2 linked regions of the Anolis sagrei genome follow. The protein of the gene in region 2 purifies or fractionates together with the protein of the main gene of each other region. This does not show direct contact. Links are inferred from orthologs where the notes say so. Each region holds a gene or a part of one and is shown on either strand. Other genes may lie near its edges.

The links.
Region 1: the proteins of KCNJ4 (region 2) and DLG4 purify together in Homo sapiens (affinity purification with western blotting, with the first as the bait; 3 studies listed by BioGRID). This does not show direct contact. The link is inferred for Anolis sagrei from reciprocal best matches to the Homo sapiens genes KCNJ4 and DLG4.

What each region holds. Positions count from the first base shown.
Region 1 is NC_090026.1:4,288,584-4,299,961, reverse strand, and holds the start of DLG4 (disks large homolog 4), read left to right. Parts: upstream 1-6,478; 5' UTR 6,479-6,532; coding exon 6,533-6,551; intron 6,552-11,378. Other genes in the region: ACADVL (very long-chain specific acyl-CoA dehydrogenase, mitochondrial), read left to right, coding at 588-725. UniProt on the Homo sapiens protein: Postsynaptic scaffolding protein that plays a critical role in synaptogenesis and synaptic plasticity by providing a platform for the postsynaptic clustering of crucial synaptic proteins.
Region 2 is NC_090025.1:164,045,603-164,057,924, forward strand, and holds the start of KCNJ4 (inward rectifier potassium channel 4), read left to right. Parts: upstream 1-6,611; 5' UTR 6,612-7,175; intron 7,176-12,322. UniProt on the Homo sapiens protein: Inward rectifier potassium channels are characterized by a greater tendency to allow potassium to flow into the cell rather than out of it.

The sequences.
Region 1 (11,378 bases), on a different chromosome or scaffold from region 2:
CCATCCAGACAAGTTGGTCATTTTGAATACTCATTCCTTCCTTCCTTCTTTCCATCCATCCATCCAAGTTAAGTCAACTATTCCTTCTCCTTCTTTCCTTCCATCCATCCATCCATTCAGGTCATTTGGAATGTTTTTTCATCCTTCCTTCCTTCCTTCCTTCCTCCCTTCCTTCCTTCCTTCCTTCCTTCCTTCCTTCCTTCCTTCCTTCTTCCCGTTTTGAATACCTCTTCTGTGTCCAGTTATGGGCCCCAAGTTCTAGAAAGAGGAGGAAGACAGCCAAAGGGCTCAAAGGTCTGGAAAAGAAGTCTTAAGTGCAAGCATGGGCCAACTTTGGCCCTCCCTCCAGGTGTTTTGGACTCCAACTCCCACAATTCCTAACAGCCACTAGGCTGTTAGGAATTGTGAGAGTTGGAGTCCAAAACACCTGGAGGGAGGGTCAAAGTTGACCCATGCCTGGGTTAGATAGATGTCTCTCTCTCTCCCCAGAGCACTTGAGTTGAGCAAGGGGTGGGCTAGATGACCTCTGTGGACCCCAAGGGCCGATTGTTCCTTGACCTCTGTCTCTTCCTCCCTCCTTCCCACAGGCCTCCGACCGGGTCACCCGCAACCTGTCCTCCTTGCGCTCGAGCTCCACACGGCAGCTCTTCAAGAACCTCAGGGGCATCTCCAAGGCGGTGGTGGAGAGCGAGGGGATCGTAACCCCCAACCCCCTGGGCATTTGAGGGCCCCCCATCGAACCCCATGCGCTTCTCAGGCCGTCCGCATGCGCACATCGCCCTCCGTCAGATATCAACAGCCATCCAATGGGAAGGAGTCGCTCACCGCCTCCAAAAAGGGAGACGACAAATACCTCTTTGAGATAGAAATGCCTTAATGCGCCCCTTAAGCACGGGGAACCTATGCAGACACATTAGAAGCCATAGTTGCCCTGAGCTCAATGGAACGGAAGCCTTACGCACACTTTTCCTTTTGGGTTTGGCTCCTTTTTTGTAGACATTGAGCTCTCGGTTTGTCGTCTCCCATCCTCTTCTCCCACAATTATAATAATAATAATAAATTTGGGGAAATTGGATCCCGAAACCCACCCGATTGTTTTGTTTTCACGTCCCAATAATCCATGAATTTGGCTATAAAAATCCAAAGAGTGTCTCGTTTTCAGGTTTTTTTCCCAATCCATGTTGTTGTCATCTCCTTACGATTATTAAATACCTTTCACTAATAGTTTGGAAGTGAAGCTGGGTGCTGTGATTGTTTCCAAACGTGGCAATTGCAAGAGGCCGAGGATGGATAGGAAATACAGAAAAGAGGGTGCATTGCAAGGCAGGTTGCTACACATCAGAGTGCATCCACACTGCAGAATTAATCCAGTTTCATACTACTTTTAACTAGGCTGACCCCATGATATGGAAATCCAGGGCTTTGGAGTTGGCAAAGAAAACAAAACTCACCAAACTCCTCTGGGACTTCCGGATTCAGACAGACAGAGTTTTGGAGCAAGACTCCTGACCTCACGATTGTGTTAAAAAACAAAGTATGGATTGTTGATGTTGCAATCCCGGGTGACAGCAGGATTGAAGAGAAACAACTAGAAAAGCTGACACGATATGATGATTTAAAGATCGAACTGCAAAGATTGGCACAAGCCAGTCAAGGCGGTCCCAGTGGTGATCGGCACAATGGGTGCAGTGCCTAAAGACCTTGGCTTGCACTTAAAAACAATTAGGGCTCACAAAATCACCACCTGTCAGCTGCAAAAGGCCACCTTTCTCAGATCTTTGAGAGTTCTTGGAGAACGGGAGAAGTTCCAGCAGATTGGAGGAGGGTCAATGTGGTCCCAATCTTCAAGAAGGGAAAAAAGGACGACCCAAACAACTACCGTCCGGTCAGCCTCACGTCGATACCGGGCAAGATTCTGGAAAAGATTGTTAAGGAAGTGGTCTGCAAACACTTAGAAACAAAAGCAGTCATCGCTAATAGTCAACATGGATTTATCAAAAACAAGTCATGTCAGACTAATCTGATCTCTTTCTTCGATAGAGCTACAAGCTGGGTAGATGCAGGGAATGCCGTGGATGTAGCGTACCTGGATTTCAGTAATGACCTTCTGGCAAGGAAACTAGTCCAATGTGGGCTAGGCAGAACTACGGTGAGGTGGATCTGGAATTGCTTAAGTGGACGAACACAGAGAGTGCTCACTAATGCTTCCTCTTCATCTTGGAAAGAAGTGACAAGTGGAGTGCCGCAGGGTTCCGTCCTGGGCCCGGTCCTGTTCAACATCTTTATTAATGACTTAGATGAAGGGCTAGAAGGCAGGATCATCAAGTTTGCAGACGACACCAAATTGGGAGGGATAGCCAAGACTCCAGAGGACAGGAGCAGGATTCAAAACGATCTTGACAGATTAGAGAGATGGGCCAAAACTAACAAAATGAAGTTCAACAGTGACAAATGCAAGATACTCCACTTTGGCAGAAAAAATGAGATGCAAAGATACAGAATGGGTGACGCCTGGCTCGAGAGCAGTACGTGTGAAAAAGATCTTGGAGTCCTCGTGGACAACAAGTTAAACATGAGCCAACAATGTGATGTGGCGGCAAAAAAAGCCAATGGGATTTTGGCCTGCATCAATAGGAGCCTAGTGTCTAGATCTAAGGAAGTAATGCTCCCCATGCTCTATTCCGCCTTGGTTAGACCACATCTGGAATATTGTGTCCAATTCTGGGCACCACAATTCAAGAGAGATATTGACAAGCTGGAATGTGTCCAGAGGAGGGCGACTCAAATGATCAAGGGTCTGGAGAACAAGCCCTATGAGGAGCGGCTTAGAGAACTGGGCATGTTTAGCCTGAAGAAGAGAAGGCTGAGAGGAGATATGATAGACATGTATAAATATGTGAGAGGAAGCCACAGGGAGGAGGAGGGAGCAAGCTTGTTTTCTGCTTCCCTGGAGACTAGGACGCAATGGGACAATGGCTTCAAACTACAAGAGAGGAGATTCCATCTGAACATTAGGAAGAACTTCCTGACTGTGAGAGCCGTTCAGCAGTGGAACTCTCTGCCCCGGAGTGTGGTGGAGGCTCCTTCTTTGGAAGCTTTTAAGCAGAGGCTGGATGGCCATTTGTCAGGGGTGATTTGAATGCAATATTCCTGCTTCTTGGCAGAATGGGGTTGGACTGGATGGCCCAGGAGGTCTCTTCCAACTCTTTGATTCTAGGATTCTATGATCTGCACACATTATTTGCCGATGCATCACACAGTCCTAGATACTTGGAAAGTGTCTGACATGTGATCTAATACAAAAACCAGCATAGGAATGTTGTTGTGTTTCAAATAATAATAATATAAGCCTTCCTTTAATAATAATAATAATCATCATCATCATCTAAGCTTGCTTTTTGAAGATACCTAAAATGTCTAACAACAACAACAACAACATTGCAATGCCAGGTGACTGCGAAATTGATGAAAAACAACTGGAAAAACTTACACGATATGAGGATTTAAAGAATTGCAAAGACTCTGGCACAAGCCAATCAAGGGGGTCCCAGTGGTGATCGGCACACTAGGTACATTGCCTAAAGACCTTGGCTTGCACTTAAAACCAATTGGTGCTGACAAATTTACCATCTGTCGGTTGCAAAAGGCCACCTGACTCGGATCTGCACACATTATTTGCCAATACACACCGTCCTAGACACTTGGGAAGGGTCCGACGTGTGATCCAATACAACAGCCAGCAGAGTGACCTTTGCTGTGTAATTTTTTTTGTCATGTCAGGAGCAAGTCGTTTCTGGTGTGAGAGAATTGGCCGTCTGCAAGGACGTTGCCCAGGGGACACCTGGATGATTTGATGTTTTATCATCCTTGTGGGAGGCTTCTCTCATGTCCCCGCGTGAGGAGCTGGAGCTGATAGAGGGAGCTCATCCGCCTCTCCCTGGATTCAAACCTGCGACCTGTCGGTCTTCAGTCCTGCCAGCACAGGGGTGTAACCCACTGCGCCACCGGGGGCTCTGGCTGCTGTGTAATAATCTTGTGTTTCAAATAATAATAATAATTATTATTATTATTGTTATTATTTATTTATTTATCGTGTCATCAGCAACCATACCATTGTATTACAATTCTAACAGAACAAAACAAACACACAGATTAAAAAGGGAAAAGGGAAAAAAAAAACACGGATTTTGCAAACTTGGTAGTTGGTTAAATGTCCTTTGACCAGTATCTGGCCACTGGTATTGACGAAAAAAGGTCCTCCATTGTGCATGTGGCAGGGCTCAGGTTGCATTGCAGCAGGTGGTCAGTGGTTTGTTCTCTGCACTCGCATGTTGTGGACTCCACTTTGTGGCCCCATTTCTTAAGATTGGCTCTGCATCTCGTGGTGCCAGAGCGCAGTCTGTTCAGCGCCTTCCAAGTCGCCCAGTCTTCTGTGTGCCCAGGAAGGAGTTTCTCATCTGGTATCATCCACGGATTGAGGTGCTGGGTTTGGGCCTGCCACTTTTGGACTCTCGCTTGCTGAGGTGTTCCAGCGAGTGTCTCTGTAGATCTAAGAAAACTATGTCTTGATTTAAGTCATTGACATGCTGGCTGATACTCAAACAGGGGATGAGCTGGAGATGTCTCTGCCTTGGTCCTTTCACTATTGGCTGCTGCTTCCCAGCGAATGTCAGGAGGTGCAATACTGGCTAGACAGTGTAATTTCTCCAGTGGTGTAGGGCGCAGACATCCTGTGATAATGTGGCATGTCTCATTAAGAGCCACATCCACTGTTTTAGCGTGGTGAGATGTGTTCCACACTGGGCATGCATACTCAGCAGCAGAGTACCATAGCGCAAGGGCAGATGTCTTCACTGTGTCTGGTTGTGATCCCCAGGTTGTGCCAGTCAGCTTTCGTATGATGTTGTTTCTAGCGCCCACTTTTTGCTTGATGTTCAGGCAGTGCTTCTTGTAGGTCAGAGCACGGTCCAAAGTGACTCCCAGGAATTTGGGTGTGCTGCAATGCTCCAGTGGGATTCCTTCCCAGGTAATCCTCAGAGCTCGGGATGCTTGTCTGTTCTTAAGGTAATAATAATATTATAATAATAACAACAACAACAACAATAATGCAAGTGAAACAAACGGTAGAAGAAGAGGAACACGCACTGGAAGATTATGTGAAAGGCAATCAAGAACCAACATTGAGGGAAGTCAATAGCAGAAAACTGCTCAAAGTGCAAAAGACAAAGAGTGAATACTGTAAAAACACAACCCAGAGCAGAAGAGAAAACTGGCGAAAGAAGAAGGCTCTCCATGGACAGTTCCTGGGAAAAATTGAGAGTCAAATTGACAAAGAAAAAACATGGCTGTGGCTCACAAATGGGACTTTGAAAAAGGAGACGAAGGAGGGCCTGATTCTGGCAGCCCAAGAACAAGCCATTCGAAGCAAGGCCATCAAAGCCAGAATTGAAAAGTCGATGACAGATCCCAAGTGTAGACTCTGCAAGGAAGCAGCTGAAACAATAGATCCCATCCTCAGCTGCTGCAAGAAGATCGCGGACAGACTACAAGCAGAGGCACAACACCGATGTTCAGATGATCCATTGGAACTTGTGCCACAAACACCATCTACCTGAGACAAAGAACTGGTGGGATCACAAGCCGGAAAGAGTTACAGAGAATGAACACGCCAAACTCCTCTGGGACTTCCAGATTCAGACTGACAGAGTTGTGGACCACAAGACTCCTGACTTCACAATTGTGTTAAAAACCAAAGTATGGATTGTCGATGTCGCAATCCCAGGTGAGAGCAGGATTGAAGAGAAACAACTGGAAAAGCTGACATGATATGAGGAATTAAAGATGGAACTGCAAAGACTCTGGCACAAGCCAGTCAAGGTGGTCCCAGTGGTGGTTGGCACACTGGGTGCAGTGCCTAAAGACCTTGGCCTGCACTTAAACACAATCGGCTCTGACAAGATTACCATCTGCCAGCTGCAAAAGGCCATCTTACTGGGATCTACATGCATTATTCGCCGATACAGCCAGCAGAGTGATCTTGTTTGCTGTGCACTCATCTTGTGTGTTGTTGTTGTTCATTCGTTCAGTCGTCTCCGACTCTTCGTGACCTCATGGAACAGCCCACGCCAGAGCTCCCTGTCGGCCGTCACCACCCCCAGCTTCTTCAAGGTCAGTCCAGTCATTTCAAGGATGCCATCCATCCATCTTGTGTACCTAATAATAATAATAATAATAATAATAATAATAATAAGCCTGCCTTTTGAACATGCCACAAATGCCGTTACAAAACAGGGCAGGCTTTGGCAGGAACTGATTTTCAGAAACCTCACGTCCAACTTTCTGAACCGGAAAACAGCTGTGTGAGAGTAACTTCGGAGGGGTCAAGAGAGAAGAACTACACATCCCAGGATGCCTCGGAGCGGAGGAAGACGGGTCAGAGGTTGCAATCTGCTGGGCAAATCTCTTAAGCTGGCAGATGTTTGGGAAGGGAGATTAGGAGATTAAGGTTGTACATGTACAAACCGCCTGCGAGATGCCCGTGAACAGACAAGGTAAGGCCGAGGCCGGGTTCGCCTTTTGTGGATTATTATTATTTGTCCCCCTCTTTGGCAAATGGGGGGGGGGATATATTCAGAATATATTTGGGGTTTGGGGTGCAATTTTCCCTTAGGGACATTATGGCATGCTGTGATGTGGTACCAATATGGATAGGGAGAAACTATCCCAGGGGAGTACCCGACCAATAGCAAACAACGTGGATCAATTACTTGAGATATCAATTCCTTGCTCTCTTGTGTGCAGTTGATTGGGACATTGATTGATCATGTTATCCATACAGCAGAATAATAATAGAGTTTTTTGGGCTACATGGACATGTTCTAGAGGCATTCTCTCCTGACGTTTCGCCTGCATCTAGGGCAAGCATCCTCAGAGGTATTGAGGTCTGTTGGAACTAGGAAAAGGGGTTTATATATCTGTGGAATGACCAGGGTGGGACAAAGGACTCTTGTCTGCTGGAGCTAGGTGTGAATGTTTCAACTGATCACCTTGATTAGCATTTGATGGCTTGACAGTGCCTGGAGCAAACTTTTGCTGAGAGGTGATTAGATGTCCTTGTTGGGTTGTTGTATGTTTTTTCCGGGCTATATGGCCATGCTCTAGAGGCATTCTCTCCTGACGTTTCGCCTGCATCTATGGCAAGCATCCTCAGAGGGAGTGAGGTCTGTTGGAACTAGAAACGAGGTTTATATATCTGTGGAATGACTAGGGTGGGACAAAGGACTCTTGTCTGTTGGAGCTAGGTGTGAATGTTTCAACTGACTACCTTGATTAGCATTTGATGGCCTGGCTGTTGTTTGGTGTGGCTTGTTGGTGCATCAAGGTGGTCAGTTGAAACATTCACACCTAGCTCCAGCAGACAAGAGTCCTTTGTCCCACCCTGGTCATTCCACAGATATATAAACCCCTTTTCCTACTTCCAACAGACCTCACTACCTCTGAGGATGCTTGCCATAAATGCAGGGGAAATGTCAGGAGAGAATGCCTCTAGAACATGGCTATATAGCCCAAAAAAACCTACAACAACCCAATGATTCCTGCCATGAAAGCCTTTGACAATACAATAATAGTATAAATCTTGGATTGTTAAACCATTGATCCCTCAACCCAAACATTTCCCAAAGTCCATAGGGTAGGACTCCAATTCCCATCATCCCCATCAAATTTGGATTGAAAGACATTAGGAAGGACTTCCTGACTGTGAGAGCTGTTCAGCAGTGGAACTCTCTGCCCTAGAGTGTGGTGGACGCTCCTTCTTTGGAGGCTTTCATACAGAGGCTGGATGGCCATCTGTCGGGGGTGCTTTGAATGCAATTTTCCTGCTTCTTGGCAAAATGGGGTTGGACTGGATGGCCCATGAGGTCTCTTCCAACTCTAGGATTCTATGACTGAACGAGATGTATATCATCAATCATCCAACTTAGTTTGCTATGTTTTCTTTGGACTCGAAACTAAATTGCAAAAAAAAAGTTATGATTTATGCCTTATGACAGTGTTTCTTAACCTGGGGGTCGGGACACCTGAGGGGGTCGTGAGGGGGTGTCAAAGGGGTCGCCAAAGACCATCAGAAAACAGAGTATTTTCTGGTGGTCATTGGGATTCTGTGTGGGAAGTTTGACCCAATTCTATTGTTGGTCAGGTTCAGAATGCTCTTTGATTGTAGGTGAACTATAAATCCCAGCAACTACAACTCCCAAATGCCAAGGTCTATTTCCCCCAAACTCCACGAGTGTTCACATTTGGGCATATTGAGTAGCTGTGCCAAATTTGGTCCAGATCCATCATTGTTTGAGTCCACAGCACTCTCTGGATGTAGGTGAACTACAACTCCAAAACCCAAGGTCAATGCCCACCAAAACCTTCCAGTCTTTTCTCTTGGTCGTAGGAGTTCTGTGTGCCAAGGCTGGTTCAATTCCATCATTGGTGGAGTTCAGAATGCTCTTAGATTGTAGGTGAACTATAAATCCCAGTAACTACAACTCCTAAATGGCGAGGTCTATTTTCCCCAAACTCGACCAGTGTTCATATTGAATATTTGTGCCAAATTTGGTCCAGATCCATCATTGTTTGAGTCCACAGCATTCTCTGGATGTAGGTGAACTACAACTCCAAAACTCAAAGTCAATGCCCACCAAACCCTTCCAGTCTTTTCTCTTGGTCATGGGAGTTCTGTGTGCCAAGGCTGGTTCAATTCCATCATTGGTGGAGTTCAGAATGCTTTTTTATTGTCGGTGAACTATAGATCCCAGCAACTACAACTCACAAACAACAAAATCAATTCCCCCCAACTCCACCAGCATTCAAATTTGGGTGTATTGGGTATATGTGCCAAATTTGGTCCAGTGAATGAAAATACATCCCGCAGATCAGATATTTACATTACAATTCATAACAGTAGAAAAAAGACTGTTAGGAGGTAGCAACGAAAATAATGTGATGGTTGGGGGTCACCACAAATGAGGAACCGTATTAAGGGGTCGTGGCATTAGGAAGGTTGAGAACCACTGCTTTAAAGTTATTGATAATTTATTGCTAACACTTCCACTCTATAATTTCATGAATCCATTCCCCAATGTAGCTACTTCTCTAACTTTTGGTCACATTCCTATCCAAGACTTGGACAGCCATGGCTCCCAAAGGGACCCATTTAAGGTGGAATCAGGTGTCAAACAATGGAACCATGCGATTTGTAAGCAATGGAACCATGGGATTTGTAGTTTGGTGAGGTACCAGAGGAGCTTGGACCATTTCAATGGGCTTTATGTTCCTTTTGCAGCCTTACAATATCAGTCAATGGCTTTTTTTCCTTCTCGGTTGACGAAGGCATCCTTTTGCCGTGTTCTGCTGTGCAGCCATGTGCCACCCGCCCTATATTTGTAGATCAGTCTGTTCTGCTCTAAATGCAGAGCCGTGTTCCGTATTTACGGCATCTTCTTGCACTGAATTCAGGGATTCGTTCAGATGAAACCGTAGAAAGCTCCCCATTGATTGCTGTTCGCCCAGGGGCGGCTCGTCCATTATGCGAAGTAAGCGGTCGCAAAACACTTTTTTTTTGCCAGGGGTGCAGAGGAGCCTCTGTAAATGCCCCTCGACCGCCAGGGATAGCCAATACTCCAGAGGACAGGAGCAGAATTCAAAACGATCTTGACAGATTAGAGAGATGGGCCAAAACTAACAAAATGAAGTTCAACAGTGACAAATGCAAGATACTCCACTTTGGCAGAAAAAATGAAATGCAAAGAGACAGAATGGGGGACGATGAGGCCTGGCTCGAGAGCAGTACGTGTGAAAAAGATCTTGGAGTCCTCGTGGACAACAAGTTAAACATGAGCCAACAATGTGATGTGGCGGCAAAAAAAGCCAATGGGATTTTGGCCTGCATCAATAGGAGCCTAGTGTCTAGATCTAGGGAAGTCATGCTACCCCTCTATTCTGCTTTGGTTAGACCACACCTGGAATATTGTGTCCAATTCTGGGCACCACAATTCAAGAGAGATATTGACAAGCTGGAATGTGTCCAGAGGTGGGCGACTAAAATGATCCAGGGTCTGGAGAACAAGCCCTATGAGGAGCGGCTTAGGGAACTGGGCATGTTTAGCCTGAAGAAGAGAAGGCTGAGAGGAGATAGGATAGCCATGTATAAATATGTGAGAGGAAGCCACAGGGAGGAGGGAGCAAGCTTGTTTTCTGCTTCCTTGGAGACTAGGACGCGGAACAATGGCTTCAAACTACAAGAGAGGAGATTCCATCTGAAAATGAGGAAGAACTTCCTGATTGTGAGAGCCGTTCAGCAGTGGAACTCTCTGCCCCGGAGTGTGGTGGAGGCTCCTTCTTTGGAAGCTTTTAAGCAGAGGCTGGATGGCCATCTGTCAGGGGTGATTTGAATGCAATATTCCTGCTTCTTGGCAGAATGGGGTTGGACTGGATGGCCCATGAGGTCTCTTCCAACTCTTTGATTCTATGATTCTATGACTTGAGGAGCCCCCCTCAGCTCACAACAGCCCTAGCAGTCCGGGGGGAGCCTCGGCTTTCTTGCCTCGCTGCCGGGCGATCCTCTTCCCAAAGGGGCCGTGCCCTTGAGCCTCACCTAGCCCCTCTCGTTCCTACTCCACCTGGCCACCAGGTGCGCGAGCAGAGCCGGCACTCAATCGTTCTCCGTGTTCGATCCCTTCCCCATGACCGGCTCCCTTTCCTGATCCCCCGGCGCTCCACCTGCCTCCTCTCCTCTCCCCAATCCACGGGTGGGCCAATTTATTTTATTTATTTATTTCGGGGTTCTTTTACCCCGCCCTTCTCACCCCGAAGGGGACTCAGGGCGGCTTACAAAAACAAAGGCACAATTCGATGCCTGCATCACAGAACAATCAAACACAAAATTACAAAATTACATCAATTCACAGGTAACAACGATTCAAGCATTATACCCATAAAATCAATAAAATCAATACAACCAATACAAACCCAATTCCTCCTCCTACGTGGTCAGCGTTCGCTAACTCATAGTTCTAATTTTCCGTTCCACTTCGTCAATCCTGTTGGTCTTACTCGCCTGAATGTCTTATTTAATTGCCAGAGTGCCCAAAGGCCTGGTCCCATAGCCACGTCTTTACCCTCCTCCTGAAGGAGAGGAGGGATGATGATGTCCTGATTTCCCCCGGGAGTGAGTTCCACAGGTGAGGGGCCACCACCAGAAGGCCCTGCTCCTTGTCCCCACCAGCCTCACTTGTGACAGTGGTGGGGTTGAGAGCAGGGCCTCCCCAGATGATCTCAGACTCCGAGGTGGGACGTAGAGGGAGATACGTTCGGACAGATACACTGGA
Region 2 (12,322 bases):
CCTGGGAATTTGGCAACAGTTACATGCTTAGGTTTTCTGTAAAGAAGCTTGCCAAGATAAGTTAGTATTATTTTCTGCTTCTGAGCTGCTGGAAGAAGATCTTTCACATGGACACTCAAAGACAATTTGAATCATGGGAGTTGTATCTTGGCAAAATCTTTAACCTCCTCTGCCAAAGAGTGCTGGTGCTTCACCAAACTGCAACTTCCAGGAATACATAGCATTGAGCCATGGTGGTGTCACACTGTATTAATTCTACTGTGTAGATCAGTGGTTCCCAACCTTTTTTTGACCAGGGACCAGTTGACCTCACTTGCCTAGTTTCCAACAGATCTCACAACTTCTGAGGATGCCTGCCATAAATGTGGGTGAAACGTCAGGAGAGAATGCTTCTGGAACATGGCCTTACAGCTCAGAAAACTCACAGCAACCCAGAGATTTCTGGCCATGAAAGCTGTCGACAACACATTTGAACACTGTGTTCTTGAGTGGAGTCAGCCCAAACATTTCATACATGAAAGGTATCAAACAACCTTAGATTGATAAAGTTTATATTGACTTGTATCGCTCTAATATTGTCATCTCCAATGAACCCAATACATTCATTTGACTACAAATCATCAACTGCAGAACAAGAATGAAGACTTGACCATGATACGAATCACTTTGCCTTGCTGACCCATGCAATAAAAGATTAGTAGATTCGCTCTATATATCTCTGACATACTCAATATGCATGGAAAGTATATATAGGTGAAAAAGACAAGGGTGAAAGAGATACCTGGTGTTTTTAATGCTTCATACAGTCAAAACAAAAATGACCCTCTTTATGCCAGATTTATTTTTACTGATTGTTTTTTTAAATCATAGAATCACAGAGTTGGTAGAGACCTTGTGGGCCGTCCAGTCCAACCTCCTGCCAAGAAGCAGGAAAATTGCATTCAAAGCACCCCCGACAGATGGCCATCCAGCCTCTGTTTAAAAGCCCCCAAAGAAGGAGCCTCCACCACACTCTGGGGCAGAGATCTATGAAAATCTAAAGTCATCTTAGAATTAAACAGTGGATCAGAACTAAAACAACAACTGCCTGGATAAAACACACAGTTTCTTAGCAACAGATAATGTATTCAGTTCCAAAACAAAACAGGCAGATGTGAGTGTTACTAGAGCCATAATTCCAAAATGAAGAACTATATATACCTGGGATTGGTGCACCGGATTATATTGGTGCTTTGGGCCTTATCAAATCACTTCTTCATGTTATATTATTCCATTGGAGAAACACTCCAGCCAGCTTTGTGAGAGTCGCTGATTAGCCATGCTCTCCATCACACTCTTGCCACATTTGTGCTTTAACAGTATCATTTGTATGGGGCTTTAGCATTTAATAGCCTTGCAGCTTCAAAGCCTGGCTGCTTCCTGCCTGGGGGAAATCCTTTGTTGGGAGTTGATCAGTTGGCCTGATTGTTCCTTGTCTGGAATTCCCCTGTTTTTTGAGTGTTGCTCTTTATTCACTGTCCTGATTTTAGAGTTTTTTTAAATACTGGTAGCCAGGTTTTGTTTATTTTCATGGTTTCCTCCTTTCCGTTGAAATTATCCACATACTAGTGGATTTCAGTGGATCTCTATGTAGACTGACATGTTAGTTGTTAAAGTGGTCCAGCATTTCAGTGTTCTCAAATAATATGCTGTGTCCAGTGCTTGGAGAGCATTGTATGATAAGGCTGAGACACAAGGGGGACCCAATGCCTTGCCATTACAGTAAACGCCACAGTATGATAACACTATTTGACTCTCCCAGCTGCAGTTTTGTTTGGCCAAAGGCAAAGGTTCTTTCTTGAACTCAAATGCAATAAGCCTGAGAGTACTGTACCAAGTTTTATTGAAAAGCAGGCAAGGCATCAAAGAAAGAACATACGAACCTTGCAAATTCATTCCCCAATCAGCTGGAACAACAGTGAGGCCAAACCTACTGCACTGATTGTGGTCTGTAGTAAATTACAGTATCGCTGTGTCAATTAATTAGCTACTTTTCTTTCCTTTGGTGTCTTACCACCCAGGTGTATGAAAATTAAACAATTATTCCACAATTTAATTATTGAAATCAAAATATAGTCATGACTTTTGTACCTTTTAGTTGGGCCAATGAAAACATAATAGATACAGCAAATGAATAGACAGTGCCCAAAGAGGGTGGATGGCGGCCAAACTTACTAATTGGGGGGGGGGGGGAATTATCTCATACACCAAATCCATACCTTCCAATTAATTCTACCTTTGAAATATATCCAGCAAAAATAGTCCCTAAAAAAAACTTTAACCCTTAAGGCAGCGTTTCTCAACCTGGGGGTTGGGACCCCTGGGGGTCACGAGGGAGTGTCAGAGGGGTCGCCAAAGACCATCAGAAAACACAGTATTTTCTGTTGATCATGGAGATTCTGTGTGGGAAGTTTGGCCCAATTCTATCATTGGTGGTGTTCAGAATGCTCTTTGATTGTAGGTGAACTATAAATCACAGCAACTTCAATTCCCAAACGTCAAGTTTTTTCACCCCAAATTCCACCAGTGTTCACATTTGGACATACTCAGGAATTTTTCCAGCATATATGGCAAATAAGGGAATAAGGGAATACTATATATATAAAAGGGACACCCTGGTGGTGCTGCGGGTTAAACCACTGAGCTGCTGAACTTGCTGACAGAAAGGTTGGTGGTTCGAATCTGGCAAGTGGGGTGAGCTCCTGCTATTATAAGTAGTAAATTAAAATAGTAAAGGTGGCACAGAGGGTTAAACTGCTAAGCTGCAGAACTTGCTGACTGGAAGGTCGGCAGTTTGAATCCGCAGGACAAAGTGAGCTCCCATTGTTAGCCCCAGCTTCTGCCAAACTAGCAGTTCGAAAACATGCAAATGTGAGTAAATCAATAGGTACCACTTCGTTGGCTCTGAAGGCAGTCATGCTGGCCACATGACCTTGGAGGTGTCTACGGACAACACTAGCTCTTCACCTTTGAAATGAAGATGAGCACCATCCCCCAGAGTCAGACACGACTAGATTTAATGTCAGGGCTATGAGCAGGGTAGAAATAATGCAAATAAATAAATAAATAAATTTACCTTTTACATGCATGCATACAGACAGACATACATACTTACATATATATGATTGTATCACAGCTGTTTTCATTATTTGAAAAAATATATCAGTCAATCTTTACTTAAAGCTTTCAAGTTAATTTACAAAACCAGCATTCAGAACAACAGTAAAACCATGAATAATGAACAAAGGTCACAGCAGAGTAGAACACAATGGCAGCATACAGGCAACATCTGAAAAGTAAAAAAAAAAATGTAAACAAAAATGCTTGTGTAAATAAAGATGTAAAGTGGGTTTAGTTGACACAAAATAAATGTGTGAAAAACGCAAGATTCCACCTCCTTTGCTTTAATTTCAGTACAATATCAAGAGAGAGCCTAGTCTCTTCCCACTATTTCCTCTTTCCACCATTGTTTCCTTAACTTGAATACACCTTTGTATATAAATGCTTTCACACAATATTGGAATGGCCTTGATTGACCAGAACAAAGACAGGAAGATCTACTACTTCCTATATGACTATTGCTTTAAAAAACCTGAAACACCTGGCTCTGTGTTTACAAAGGCATCTTGAACCACCATCTTTTTTCCGATAGAGTTACAAGCTGGATAGATGCAGGGAACGCCGTGATGTAGAGTATCTGGATTTCAGTAAGGACTTCAACAAGGTCCCCATGACCTTCTGGCAAACAGACTAGTCCAATGTGGGCTAGGCAAAACTATGGTTAGGTGGATCTGTAATTGGTTAAGCAAACGAACCCAAAGGGTGTTCACCAAAGTTTCCTCTTCATCCTGGAAAGAAGTGACAAGTGGAGTGCCTCAGGGTTATGTCCTGGGCCCAGACCTATTCAACATTAATGACTTAAGTGAAGGATTAGAAGGCATGACCATCAAGTTTGCAGACAACACCAAATTGGGAGGGATAGCCAATATTCCAGAAGCCAGGAGCAGAATTCAAAACGATCTGAACAGATTGGAGAGATGATTGGCCAAAACTAACAAAATGAAATTCAACAGGGACAAATGCAAGATACTCCACTTAGGCAGAAAAAAGGAAATGCAAAGATAAAGAATGCGGAGCACCTGGCTCAAGAGCAGTACATGTGAAAAAGATCTTGGAGTCTTTGTGGACAACAAGTTAAACAATGTCATGCGGCAGCAACAATGTCATGCAGTGGCAAAAAAGCCAATGGGATTTTGGCCTGCATCAATAGGAGTATAGTGTCTAGATCCAGGGAAGTCATGCTACCTCTATATTCTGCTTTGGTCAGACCACATCTGGAATCACATTGTGTCCAATTCTGGGCATCGCAATTGAAGGGAGATGTTGACAGGCTGGAATGTGTCCAGAGGAGGGTGACTAATATGATCAAGGGTCTGGAGAACAAGCCCTATGAGGAGCCACTTAAAGAGCACTTCCATAGGTATAGCAATTAGACTAGCAATTAGCAATTAGATTAGGATTAGTTGAGACTGTTCCTGCCAGTTGGAGGGTATTCAGATGCAAAGTTCCTCCTGACAGCTCATTTTGATGTAGGTAATACAGAGGAACCCCTGGTGGCGCAATGGGTTAAACCCTTGTGCTGGCGGGACTGAAGACCAAGAGGTTGGAGGTTCAAATCCAGGGAGAGTGTGGATGGGCTCCCTCTGTCAGCTCTAGCTCCCTGTACAGGGACATGAGAGAAGCCTCCCACAAGGATGGTAAAATATCAAAAACATCCTGGCATTCCATGGGCAACGTCCTTGCAGATGGCCAATTCTCTCACAGCAGAAGTCACTCCTGACACGAAAAAAGTAAAAGCTAATGCAGAATGTACTAGTGGATTGTGGTACATTTTTATTATTAGAGGTGAAGGACCATTTGAGTTTTTCAACAGAGTCTAGAGTTGATCCTGTTAGTTGTGCCACAATAAGGGAATCGTGGAGATGCTTAGAAAGGTATGATAGAATCCAACAGCGAAAATAAAGAGCCACAATCCACAACAACAAAACAGTTCTCCAAATGTCTGGGACAACAAAGGTATTAAAACCCCTTATTTTGTAACTACTGGAGCAACTATTGACTGTAAGATGAAAGCATTTCACTGAATGTAATAGCTTGCTGGCTGAGAAGAAACCCAAACGCCTTGTTGAACCTTTTTCACCCCAATCCTTGCCCAAAAACAAAGGGGGGGGGGGGACACAGGCCTGCACCCTCCTTGAAAGGCACGAAGCCTGTGAACAAAGGATAGCACCACATAGAAGAAGAAGAACTTTATTTTTCTACCCTGCCTCCATCTCCCCGAAGGGACGTGGGGCAGCTTACATGGGGCCAAGCCCAAAAAACATATAGTTTATTTATTTATCGTGTCAGGAGCAGACCAAACAGTTGTATTGCATTTTTTAACAAACAAACAAACCACAAAGTTTGCAAGCTTGGTAGTTGATTAAATGTCCTTTAACCAGTAGCTGGCCACTTGGAGTGCCTCTGGTGTTGCTGCAAGAAGGTCCTCCATTGTGCATGTGGCAGGGCTCAGGTTGCATCGCAGCAGAGCTCTGTAGTTTGCTCTTCTCCACACTCGCATGTCATGGATTCCACTTTGTAGCCCCATTTCTTAAAGTTGGCTCTGCATCTTGTGGTCCCAAAATGCAGTCTGTTCAATGCCTTCCATGTCGCCCAGTCTTCTGTGTGCCCAGGGGGGAGTCTCTCATTTGGTATCAGCCATTGATTGAGGTTCTGGGTTTGAGCCTGCCACTTTTGGACTCTCGCTTGCTGAGGTGTTCCAGCGAATGTCTCTGTAGATCTTAGAAAACTATTTCTTGATTTAAGTCATTGACATGCTGGCTGATATCCAACAGGGGATGAGCTGGAGATGTCTCTGCCTTGGTACTTTCACTATTGGCTGCTACTTCCCAGCGGATGTCAGGTGGTGCAATACCGGCTAAACAGTGTAATTTCTCTAGTGGTGTAGGGCACAGACACCCTGTGATAATGCGACATGTTTCATTAAGAGCCACATCTACTGTTTTAGCGTGGTGAGATGTGTTCCACACTGGGCATGCATACTCAGCAGCAGAGTAGCATAGCGCAAGGGCAGATGTCTTCACTGTGTCTGGTTGTCATCTCCAGGTTGTGCCAGTCAGCTTTCGTATGATATAATGCCCGGATGTCTTGCAATCCTGTGAGGAGGCTTTTCTCAGGTCCCCTAACATATAGTTAAAACAAGGCAAATAAAAATAAAAACAGCATACAACCAACATCATAAGCAATAATAAAACAGACATCATAAACAAAAGAAAAAGAAAAAAAAGAAAAGAAAAGTATGATAGAAGTTGAGTGACTTAAGTATGCTCTTCTGAATTAGGCTCAGGGATAATCTTTAGGAAAAGAATAAAAAAATGAAAGTAGGTTTTAAACTGTGTTCTGGAGTGGATGGCAAACCTTTGCAGGCCAGAGTGCTCTGTGCAAAGATGCCGAGGGCTCTGCACTGCCCGGCACACGTGTCCCCATTAATGTTTCCACTGCTTTGGATTGCGCTCCCGTCTTTCCATCACTGCATCTGCAGCGTGTATCCATGGTTGTGAGCTCACATGCAGGGATGGGTTAAAGTAGTGGAAGGCTGGTGTATTCTAGCAGAGTTAGTGACTTCTCAGCTACAGGCTGCAGAGCAAAACAGGGAAACAAATGATTTGAGAGCGAGAGAAGGAACAAGAAGGAAGGAGAGCGTCCTGGGAAGAGGGGAGTTAATGAAACGGGAGGGGGGTAAACAGTAGTGAGGAAAAGGACTATCTCAAAAGTATTGCTTCAAGTGCCCGGGGAGCACTTGAATCTATGGATGGGAACTCTTCACAAAGCAACAATAAAGTCCAGAACAAAGAGGAACCAAGAGGCCGGCTAAGAAATGAATGAAAGAAAGTTGGACCCAGACCAAGTGTTGTGAGTGATGTGGAAGGCAAGCAAAACAGAGCGACCAGGAGACCAAACAAATTTAGGGGATGTAACCCAAGCTGGATGAGGTGCTGGCAATTTTTCTCTTTTTATCCTCCTCTTGAAAGCTGGATTTTCAGGATTCAGATGGAAATAGGCTGACTACACACCAGGTAAGAGACTATTTGTTGTCATTATGTACAATGTCACTGAGAGCCAGAGTGTTGTGGTTTGATTGTTGGACTTTGACTCTGGGAAGCCAGTGGTCAAATCCACACTTTGGCTTTGGAAATACACTGGATGACCTGTAAACAAGCGAGACCCCTGGGGATATTTCCAAAATCTGTTGGAAATAGCAACTTTCTACAAGGCTCCTATACTAGTCATTTGTTATGTATATACAGTAATTCAGATTGCTTACTGCAGCATTCCTCAATCTGGGGATTGGGACCCCTGAGAGGGATCACGAATGAGTCTCAGAGGGGTCGCCAAAGAACATCAGAAAACACAGTATTTTCTGTTGGACGTGGGGGTCTGTGTGGAAAGTTTGGCCCAATTCTATCCTTGGTGGGGTTCAGAATGCTTTTTTATTGTAGGTGATCGATATATCCCAGCTACTACAATTCCTAAATGTAAAAGTCTTTTTTCCTCAAACTCCACCAGTGTTCACATTTGGGCATATTGAGGATTCGTGCAAAGTTTGGTCCACATCCATCATTGTTTGAGTCCACAGTGCTCTCTGGATGTAGGTGAACTACAACTTCAAAACTCAAGGTCAATGCCCACCAGGGTGGTCCGTGAGAAGGCCTTACTGGTACATTATTTAAACTGTTATGTTTATTCATATCATGATCTGATCACCATGCTCAGTATATCCCATATGCATGGGTGTATTGGGATAATAATACAAAAGGTTTGCTAGGGTAGATCCTGACCCCCCCCCCCAGAATCAAACACAGCCCCCCCCCCCCCCGCCCTGCCCCCCGAATCAAAATTCTGGCTACGGGCCTGATGCTCACCAAACCCTTCCAGTATTTTCTGTTGGTTATGGGAGTTCTGTCTGCCAAGATTGGTTCCATTCCATCATTGGTGGAGTTTAGAATACTCTTTGATTGTGGGTAAACTATAAATCCCAGCAGCTCCAACCCCCAAATGATAAAATCACACACACACCCAACCCCACCAGTATTCAAATGTGGGTGTATTGGGTATTTGTGCCAAATTTGTTCCAGTGAATGACAATACATCCTGCATATCAGATATTTACATTATAATTCATAACAGTTGCAAAATTATAGTTATGAAGTAGCAACAAAAATAATTTTTGATGCAAGGGGGGGGGTCACCACAGCACGGTGATCTCTATTAAGGGATCGTGGCATTAAGAAGTTTGAGAACCACTGCTGTAAACAAATCTTGCCAAGAAAACCTTTGGTTCACCATAAAATGGAAATAACTTATAGGCACAATATAACAGTAGTAATGTACTATGCACATGCTTGAGATTGGAGCTGATGAATTTCCTATGCTGATGATATGTGTCTGTAAATGTTTATAGGGACATCCCCCCCCCCCCCAAATCATTTTATTTCAGTAATGTAGATGCTGGTACATAAAATCTTAAGTTACAATTATATCTTTCCATAATTAAGATGCCTCAAGTCTTCTGGTTTTAAAAAAATGTATACCATTTAATCAGAAATATTTGCTTGCACTAAATGTTAAGGTTCTAATGGTACCAGTTTCTCTGCAGACCATATTTTTAACCCAGCTTGATGAATGCTCAGTTCTTCAGTCATCCACCCCACCTCACCCCACCCAATTGGTTTGGACAATTCTTCTTTAAGGTAGTTTCTTAGGTTGTTATGTTCAAACTACTAATTTCAAAGTGTTATGGAATGATGTCAGTAGGATACATTTCTAATGGGTTCTTCTCATGAGTGGGATGCTCACAGGATTCCAGAACAATGGAACTAAAACAAAAATAGCTTATGTGCTTATGTTATTTGTAGTCTCAGGGACTCTGTCCATGCTACCCCATGTTACAAAGAGAATGTTTATATGGATACCATTTATTCTTCTGTTTCACATTAAGATGATGTTGAACATCATCTTAGGGGCAGTAGAAGTGAATCATCAGGAATAATACAATCTATATCAGGCATGGGCAAACCCAGACTCAGGGGCTCTTTTCTCAGGCCCTCCTCTCTCTCACCATCCTATCCTTTAGCCCTTCTCTCTTTCCTTGCTCCTTTACTCTCTCCCTTCTTTACCTCCCTCTTTCTCCCTCCCTCCCTCCTTTCCACCCTTTCGTCCTCCCTTCCTTCTCTCTTTCCTCTCTCCTTCTCTCTCTTTCTCCTTCCTTCCCTTTTCTTTCTTTCCTTCCTTCTCTTTCCTTTTTCCCTTCCTAACTTCCATCCTTCCCTTCCACCCTTTCATCCTTCCTTCCCTTTTGTCTTTCCCCCTTCCCACTTCTCTTTCTTCTTCCCCTCTTCCTCCTCCTTCCATCCTTCCCTTCATCCCTTTCATCCTTCTTGCCTTCTTTCCTCCCTCCCTCCCTTTCTTCCTTCCCTTTTTCCTTCCTCCTTCTTTCCCTTCACTCCATCCTTCCCTTCCACCCTTTCGTCCTCCCTTCCTTCCCTCTTCCCTCTCTCCTTCCCTTTTCCCTTTCTCCTTCCTTGCTTCCCTTTTGTCTTTCCTTCCTTCACTCTTTCCTTTTCCCCTTCCTTCCATCCACCCTTCTCTTCTTCCCTTCCTTCCTTCCTTCCCTCTTTCCTTCTTCCATTCCACCCTTTCATCCTTCCTTCCCTTTTGCCTTTCCTCCTTCCCTCTTTCCTTTCTCCTTCCCCTCTCCCTCCTTCTCCTTCCATCTTTCCCTTCCTTCCTTTCATCCTTCCTGCCCTCTTCCCTTCCTGCCTCCCTTACGTCCTTCTCTTCCTCCCTTTCTTCCTTCTCTTTTTCCTTCCTCCTTCCTTCCACCCTTCCTTTCCACCCTTTCACCCTTCCTTCCCTTTTGTCTTTCCTTCCTTCCCTCTTTTCTCCCTCCTTCCCTCTCTCCCTTTTTCTCCTTCCATATTTCCCTTCCTCCCTTTCGTCTTTCCTTCCTTCTCTCTTTCCTTCCTCCTTCGCTTCCTTCTTTCCTTCACCGAGAAGCCATTCCTCTTCGCAGGGAGTACTAGCATGCGGTTCCCAAGTTAGAAAGTTTGGCCATGCCTGATCTATACAAAGTAGCGTAGGAATCCAGAATTTCTTTAAATAAGTTGAAACTAATTGCAAGAAGACACACTTGTGGCACATGTGTTGGGTGTGGAAATAGTGTTGATTTGTGATAGCACACTATATATCAGGTACAGGCAAACTTCAACCCTCCAGGTGTTTTTGACCGGCTGTTAGGAATTGTGGGAATAGAAGCCCAAAACACTTGGAAGGCCAAAGTTTGCCCATGCTTGATATATATCTACCTGTCTCCTTCACCAGATGCAAAGATCATGATGGAGTGCCAGCCTAGAATAGTGGTTTGAGAGTTGGACTAGGACTCCAGGAGATCAGGGTTCGAATCTCTTCTTGAACTGAAAACCCAGTGGGTTCCCTAGGGCAAGTGCACTATCTCAGAAGAAGGCAATGGCAACTCTCCTCTGAACAAATCTTGCCAAGAAAACCACATGATATGGGCTTCGGGTTGCCCTAAATCAGAAATGACTTGAAGGCACACAATAGTGATAATGACCACAAAGTCTTGTTATATAAACAAAGTGCAAGTAGTTATCATTCGGTTTGTTGTGAGTGTTCCAGGCTGTATGGCCATGTTCCAGATGCATTATCTTCACCCACATCTACGGCAGGCATCCTCAGAGTTTGTGAGGTCTGTTGGAAACTAGGCAAGTGAGGTTTATATAACTGTGGAATATCCAGGGTGGGAGAAAGAACTCTTCTCTGTTTGAGGCATGAATGTTGCAATTGGCCACCTTGATTAGCATTGAATGGCCTTGTAGCTTCAAAGCCTGGCTGCTTCCTGCCTGGGGGAATCCTTTGCTGGGAGGTGTTAGCTGGCTTGAATTTGAATAGTTTCTTCCTGGGTGACCCAAATTCTCTATTGGTGGAAAATTATGTATGCCATACATGTATGCCATACATGTGCCACCATGTAGTCTAGTTGTGCCCGACTCTAAGCTGAAGAGCCGGCATTGTCCGTAGACACTTCCTAAGTCATGCGGCCAGCATACCTGCATGGAGCGCTGTACCTATTGACCTACTCACATTTACATGTTTTTGAACTGCTAGGTTGGTGGAAGCTGGGGCTTAAGCGGCTGAGGGGGAAAAGAAAAGGGCCTGAGGCTGTTAGGAATTCTGGGACTTGAAGTCCAAAATACCTGGAGGGCCCAAGTTGGCCCATGCCTGCTCTAGTTAGAAACTATTATTGGTACATAAGTAGGATTACACTGTGAAAGCCTCACAGACAGAAACCATTTAATATGGAATTATTGATCATGGAGCTCCAGTTAGGAGTCATTAAAGCCTAGAGGGCCTATAATAGGGCCAAATGCATGCATTTGATAGCAGTGTAATGATGATACTGCAATTATTTGTATACTGTGAGAGGGAATTTGGCCTAAAGATGAGTTGGTGACATCGCGTAAGCAAATCGATCTCCATTTAGCTCAGTTGTGCATGATACCACGAGGAATACAGTCAGCCCTCCCTAGCCACGGATTCAACCATCCATGCCTTGGAAATATCGCCCTGCTCCAAATTCCAAAGGCAAAGCTTGATTTTGACATTTTATATAAGGAATGCCAATTTACTACACATTATACATAATGGGACTTGAGTTTTGAGTATCCACAAAGCAGAGGGTCCTTGAACCAAATCCAGTAGATAACAAAGACTTGTTGTATTGTCCTTGAGATGAAATATCAGATTGGTGAGCTTTGCAAAGAATATTCAACCTGTGCAAAGAAGAGCATTGGATAAAGTCAAATTTCAGGATATAGAAGAAAGAAGTGTATTCTCTTAAATTTGTGACACAAAACAAATAGAAATCCTTCTACTTCTTCATGACTCAAAACTATTGTTGTTGTTGTTGTTATTATTATTATTATTATTATTATTATTATTATTATTATTATTTGAAACACAACAAGATGAGTCCACAGCAGACAAAATCATTCTGCTGGCTGTTGTATTGGATCACACATCGGATATTTCCCAAGTGTGATGTATCGTCAAATAATGCATGCAGATCCCAGTGAGGTGGCCTTCTGCAGCTGGCAGACGGTAATTTCGTCAGCTCTAATTGTGTTTAAGTGCAGGCCAAGGTCTT